2 linked regions of the Drosophila melanogaster genome follow. The protein of the gene in region 2 purifies or fractionates together with the protein of the main gene of each other region. This does not show direct contact. Each region holds a gene or a part of one and is shown on either strand. Other genes may lie near its edges.

Region 1 (3,141 bases), on a different chromosome or scaffold from region 2:
GTTCATCGGCGCGCAATTTTCGTACACCCATCTTGACATATACACAAGCATTTTGCACTGGTGTGCTATGTGTCTATGTGCAGACACCAATATGTGTATTCTGTTCTACGCAATTGCAAATTGCGCCTGGGATCTGATCTCTTTTGTTCGCCGCGATATTTCGCACAAGATGCTCCGCTCGCGATGTGTTATTGTTGTTGTGGGGCTGCTGTATTGCAGTTTTACCGTTTTGCTTCACACCGATTTCGTTAGGGATTTGATAAGTTATTGATTCGTTCTATTTTGGGGATAACACGACAACGTACTTTACTTTGGTGCGGCATTGGCTACTTTACGATAACTTTATAACACTAGACCTCGAAAATGAACAATTGAAACGAAAATAAGTTATATTATATCGAGTGAAAAGCTTTTCCTGACCTGCAGTGCGACCGTTTGCCGCTTGAGCGCAAAATACCGAATGTCGATAACTACAGAAGTTGGAATTTATCCGAAAATCCACCCTTGGAAAATTACATTGTCTTGTCAATTATTTTCTTTATTATTAAAATAGTTTTTCTTAATCCTCTAGCTTTTCTGGTGGTGGCCCACATGGCTGCAGCATTCGCTCCATCAGATTAAATCGCACTCGTGCCTTCGATTCATTTTCCGCTATGGCAAAGTAGTTGAGAATATCGTAGTGACCCATGTAGCTGGCCAAGGAGTCGCGATGTTGATTTGTTAGCCACTCGAACTTTGTGGTATCCGCGTGTCCTGTTCCGATGTACTTGCTTTGTAGATGCTCCAGCTGGCTGTGGATATTGTAGCGTTCACCCATTTTGCTTAAGTTGTTTCAGTATTAGGCGAGGAATAGTTAATGTGCAGTGTGTTATTTTGTTGTTTGCGTCTTGGTGTGGCCAGAAATTTTGTATGTTGGTATTTTTATTACTTTAGTACATGACACTTTGGTATTTTAGTACACAGGCGGCAAACTTGGTATTTAAAATCGTAATATTTGTTTACATTTCGCTGTCATTTATAAATTATTCATTTATCAAGTACTTTGATAAGCAATGTGTGGACGCACCTGTCTGTAGGTATATAATTTTTTCTTTCACCATTTCTATTAAACGCCTCTTCAGAACTCTAGACCCTGATCAGGTAATTTGTGCCTGTAAATATCCAAAAAAATCTACTCGAAAGGAGCCGGATTTCAAAGAGAAAGATGATATGAAAGATGGGGAAGGATCCGAAATGGAGACTCCCGAGTGGAGGGCGGAATACAACCTGGGTAGACGCTACCAGGCCTCCTACAACATAGCCCCTACTGATATTACGCCCGTGATCGTGTCCGCAGCTCATTTTTCAGACGCCGAGGATCAAGAGTGCGCCCGCGTGGTAACGCCCATGATGTGGGGCATGATTCCCTTTTGGCACAAGGGTGACTATCGGCGGCATGGCCTTACCACCAACAATTGCCGTCTGGAACACCTGATGGACTCCAAGCTCTATCGCGGTCCCTTCAAGCGAGGTCAGCGGTGTGTAGTTATTTGCGAAGGATTCTATGAGTGGCAGACGGCTGGACCTGCGAAGAAGCCATCGGAGCGTGAGGCTTACCTGGTATTCGTACCCCAGGCGGCGGATGTGAAGATCTACGACAAGAATACATGGTCGCCCCAGGATGTGAAGCTTTTGCGAATGGCTGGACTTTTTGACGTCTGGGAGGATGAAAGTGGCGACAAGATGTACAGCTACAGTATTATCACCTTCCAGTCCAGCAAAATTATGTCCTGGATGCACTACCGCATGCCAGCGATCCTGGAAACCGAGCAGCAGATGAATGTGAGTAAAGCATTTGTTAATCCTTCGTTAATCCAGGTCCAATTTACCCATCCTCGCATATTCTAGGATTGGCTGGACTTTAAGCGAGTTAGCGACAAGGAGGCCTTGGCTACATTGCGTCCGGCTACCGAACTGCAGTGGCATCGTGTTACCAAGCTGGTAAACAACTCGCGAAACAAAAGCGAGGAGTGCAACAAGCCGATCGAATTGGCGGCTAAGCCCGCAAAGCCACCGATGAACAAAACGATGATGTCTTGGCTGAATGCCCGTAAGAAGCGGGAAGATCAAATCAAAGCAAAACAGAGCGACGATGAGGATCAGGAAAAAGAAGCTACGACCATGGGAGGGACCTCCGCTGACGGCTCACCCGTAGAGAGGCCCGCCAAGCGACCCAGATTCAGGGACTTTAAGAGGAATCGTACGGCAGCTCCCCCGCAGAGCAGCGGCAGCTAGATGAAATCGGGCAAAAGATAAACCTCATCAGTAACTAAAGTTCCATAGTTTGTAGTACATTAAGTTTATTTTCAGTAAAAACCAAAATTTTTATTCTCAATAACCAAAGTTTTAAGCATTATCATCGTTGTGGTGAGCTTACTTACAAATGTTGGGACTTAGCGACTAAAAAGTTGTTTAGAATTTGTTCTCTCGAAGTGAGGTTAACTAACTAATGTTATGTTTGAACTTGACGTAATTAATTAAATGGTCTCATTTCTGCGAGTGCGATTCAATTTTGAGCGCCACTGTATTGAGCTTGGAAGTTTTTGTTGTCGCGGCATAAAATGCAATTAAAACAAAATGAAAAGCTGCACATAAAGCATGTAAAGTGTACATATCGACCGTATATTGTTTGCTCGTCTACGTCTGATTGCCTTGGCGAAAAATGAGCGAAAATTAATGGGAAATGGTGTCAATGTTGTTCGCGGGAAAAGCGTGGAAGTGGTACACTTGCTGAGTTGCTTACAACTATCAATTTGTGGTATATTAGGCTACGAATTGTTTAATTATTTATATATTTATACGTTGTATGAACTTTAAAATGCTCAATGACAAATACAAATGAATACTCTGCACACAGCGTGTCCACATATGAACTTAATCCTATATAATCGATGAGAAAGTTTAGAATTCATGGGCTATATAGCGGTGTAAACACATTGCCTTTAGTTACGAACAATCGTAAGGCCTTAATTGTAAATACTTTTGCACGGCCAATGAGCGGGTTAAGTGGAGGCGGTGGCGGGCGGGCTAATGGATACGGGAGGTGGAAGTGAAGAAGACGTAGCACACAAAAATAAAGATATCTGAATCGTGTACGTGACT
Region 2 (3,826 bases):
TGGCGAAAAGCCCTTCGAGTGTAAGACGTGTGGCAATCGCTTTCGCCAGGTAGCGGCGCTCATCCGACACCAAAAAGTCCATGACGAAAAGCCGGCGAAGCCTCTGGGGGAGAGAAATGACCGTAAACAAAAGGTTGAGGCACTACGGCAGGAAATTGCGAAGGTCGCCAAGAAGGAGCTCAAGGATTTGAAGAACCAACTGGCACTGGAGAAGCAGCAAGACACATACGAAAAGTAATAGGCAGCGGCAGCTAGCCAAACTGGTCCTGACCTTAAGGAGGAACCCTAATCGCAGAATAGTTTACGATTACATAGGGCAAAAGACTTCCCATAATAGTGGGAATTTTTATTGTTGGTTAATATTTAACTATTACTTGTTATCCTATTTCTAAGTTGTTAAATAAACTTGACCCAAATGACACACTTTAGAATAACTACAAATGGTTTTGGACTAAAACTAGTTTTAAAAAAAATTGGTCATAAATCGAAACAAACGATTCTAGTTTTTCAATTTTTTTTTATTTTTACTTTCACTTGCTTGTTATTTTGATGAGAGAGTGTCTTAATGTCGTCAAATGATTGCAAACAGTCGGAACCGGGCGCAAATGTCTGCGTTCCGCGATATCCGGCCGTTTATATGATAGATGGAGTGATGGATGGATGATAATGATTAGATTCAAATGATACAAAATGCGATCAAAAAAATCTACAAGTAGATAGCAAAAATTTGGTATACACATAAGCAGAGCAAGAAGTTCCCTAAACAATGGAAAATGGTCGATGGAAGTGGGGGCGTCATCTGGTGGGGCCCAATGTCTGGCTATGCCCCATCACCGCCTGCCGCACCAAGTGTGGGTTCTAAGGAGCTTCAGGCGTCTTCAGATTGTACTTGGCCTTAATGTTGTTCAGTTCCTCCTGTTTCTTGTCCATGTCCACGCGCTTGAAGGCCTTGTTGGATTGGTAGTAGAGCACCACCAGATAGCGATTGCACACATTAAAACCCGATAAATGGTCACAGGCGTTCTTGGCATCGAAAATGTCCTCGTAGACGACAAAGGCGGTGCCACGCGTTTCCGGAGTGTTGCCTCTGCAAAAGATACACAAATTGATTGAGAGGATTCACGGCGAATAGCATTATCATCTTCAATCTTACACGCGTATCTGTCGAATGGCTCCAAATTTGCCGAATATGTCGTACATCTCGTCCGAGGTGATTTTGTACGGCAGGTTCCGCACGTACAATAGCCGATTCACCTCTGGCGGCAGGCGGATCTGCAAAAGAAATAGCACTTTTCACTCAATACATTTGCTTTGTGTGTGGAGCCGTAGGTTTTCTGCTCACATGGTTGCGCTTGTTCATGTCCGGTCGCTTCGGATGTTAAGCGGCGACAAGGCGAGAAACTTTCACTCGGCCTCGAGGAAAGTGTGTGGCGGCTTTGTCTGACCCGGGATGAATGTCCTGAAGCGTGGTCCTTTGTTTAAAATTAATGACTCCTCTGTCTGGCCTCAAACCCAAACAAAATTGAACAGGGTGGCGAATGTGGGCACTCTAAATGGCGAGAGTGTGGACGCATTTCGAGAGCCGTATCGAGTGTGACCGTGCAGCAGCACTTAGATACATATGTGAGAGGAAGTTCGTTACATCGGAGCAGCTTTGGACTGCAAAATTTGATTTAATATTCATTTTTTTTCATTTTGGCAATAAAATAATTTGTTGTTCGGAAATTATATATCAGAGTGATTCAAACATTTTAAGCTGCTTAAAAATATTAAATTAAGCACAATAAATTAAAAAATCAACTACATTAAATATAATTTTAAAACCCGTGACGACACGTTGCCATCTCTAATAAAAAATAGCATACTCCCTCTCTCTTGCACGGTCACACTGTATACATCTCGCTAATTGTGCAAAGAAAAGGTGAAAAAAGAGACAATTTACGCAAAATCTTAAGAAAATTCCAACTAAAATAGTTTTAAAGCACAGCCAACACCCAAAGGTAAGTAGGGGGTATGCGGACAACGCAGAACTTATCTCGGAAAAGCGTTTTCAACCGCACGCCCGATGTCACGAAATATGGCGGAGGCAGGCGAGTTCTATTCGTGTGTTTTTTTTTGTCTGGGGTTGTGGGCAGAAAATCGCACGTTACTCTCGGGGCAGGGCTTTCAACTCCCGCCTTCCGCCGTAAAACCATTAAGTGCCAAGGAAACATCGAACGGAAAACGTAAATTTCACAACAGCAGATGTCTGTTTGCGGGTGTGGGTGCAAAATGCCCTGGTGTGCGTGAGTGGCCTCGAACAGAGTGTCTCTCGTGCTCTCTCTTTCTCCCCCATTTGCTACCCTTTGCGAGGCCATTAACCCTAATTTCTAATTCCGAATTCACTAATCAAACCTAAAACCCTTGCGATCTTCCCTTGCAGCAGCAAAATGACGTGGGAACCACAGGGAGAAGGTCTGCAGCAGATCATAGCGATCCTCAAGGAGTCGCAGTCACCGGACACAGCCACTCAAATGGCCGTACAGATGGTGAGTAATAACTTCTACCAGGTACGGTTCCTCGAACTGCATGCACATATTGTGTCCTTCTCAACAGAAACTGGAGGAATTCAATCGCTACCCCGACTTCAACAACTATCTTATCTATGTGCTGACGAAACTGAAGACAGAGGACGAGCCCACGAGATCACTCAGCGGCCTAATCCTCAAGAACAACATCCGCATGCACGGCACCACTCTGCAGCCGGAGATCGTGGAGTATATCAAACACGAGTGCCTGCAGGCAGTGGGCGACGCTTCGCCCCTGATCCGTGCCACCGTGGGCATCCTGATTACCACCATCGCCAGCAATGGCGGTCTGCACAACTGGCCGCAGCTGCTTCCATCTCTCTGCGAAATGCTCGACAACCAGGACTATAATGTGTGCGAAGGCGCATTCAGTGCCCTGCAGAAAATTTGCGAGGACTCTGCCGAGATTTTGGATTCCGCAGCGCTCAACAGGCCATTAAACATAATGATTCCAAAGTTCCTGGAGTACTTCAAGCACAGCAGTCCAAAGATCCGCTCCCACGCCATTGCCTGCATCAACCAGTTCATCATCAACAGATCACAGGCTCTGATGCTAAACATAGACAGCTTCATTGAGAACCTCTTTCACCTGTCATCAGATGAGGACCACGAGGTGCGCAAAAACGTGTGCCACGGATTGGTCATGCTGCTGGAGGTGCGAATGGACCGTCTGATGCCGCACATGTCGCAGATTATTGAGGTATAACTTTAAAATAAAATATATAATTAATAATAATTATTCTGATAAATTTTTGTTTAAATATCTTATTTAACGAATTTTAGTACATGCTGTTGCGCACCCAGGACACCGATGAGGGTGTGGCCCTGGAAGCATCCGAGTTCTGGCTTTCACTGGCCGAGCAAAGCATCTGCAAGGACGTGCTTGCCCCTTATCTTGCTCAATTAGCGCCAGTTCTTGTACGAGGCATGCGGTACTCAGAGGTCGACATAATTCTCCTCAAGGGAAACGTTGAGGAGGATGACATGGTGCCCGATCGAGAAGAGGATATCCGCCCGCGTTTCCACAAGTCCCGTGCACACACAATCAGGAGTACACAAGAGGGAGGAGCTGGAGCGACAGGCGATGATGACGACGACGAATTTGAAGATGGAATGGACGACGATAGCTCGCTATCGGAATGGAACTTGCGCAAGTGCAGCGCAGCTGCTCTCGATGTATTGGCGAATGTTTTCCGAGAGGATTGTCTGCCCGTTGTGCTGCCCATCCTGAAAGAGACTCTGTTCCATCAAGAATGGGT

The links.
Region 1: the proteins of Sf3b6 (region 2) and Sf3b5 purify together in Drosophila melanogaster (affinity purification with mass spectrometry; 2 studies listed by BioGRID). This does not show direct contact.

The regions. Positions count from the first base shown.
Region 1 is NT_033777.3:9,014,448-9,017,588, forward strand, and holds Sf3b5 (splicing factor 3b subunit 5), read right to left. Parts: upstream 895-3,141; 5' UTR 818-894; coding exon 560-817; 3' UTR 525-559; downstream 1-524. Other genes in the region: CG11986 (uncharacterized protein), read left to right, coding at 1,053-1,072, 1,122-1,821, 1,888-2,274. UniProt on the Drosophila melanogaster protein: Involved in pre-mRNA splicing as component of spliceosome. As part of the spliceosome complex, plays a role in the regulation of spermatogonial differentiation.
Region 2 is NT_037436.4:6,191,623-6,195,448, forward strand, and holds Sf3b6 (splicing factor 3b subunit 6), read right to left. Parts: upstream 1,558-3,826; 5' UTR 1,361-1,557; coding exon 1,343-1,360; intron 1,273-1,342; coding exon 1,154-1,272; intron 1,088-1,153; coding exon 859-1,087; 3' UTR 502-858; downstream 1-501. Other genes in the region: CG7386 (uncharacterized protein), read left to right, coding at 1-238; Tnpo (transportin), read left to right, coding at 2,430-2,528, 2,596-3,267, 3,351-3,826. UniProt on the Drosophila melanogaster protein: Involved in pre-mRNA splicing as a component of the splicing factor SF3B complex. SF3B complex is required for 'A' complex assembly formed by the stable binding of U2 snRNP to the branchpoint sequence (BPS) in pre-mRNA.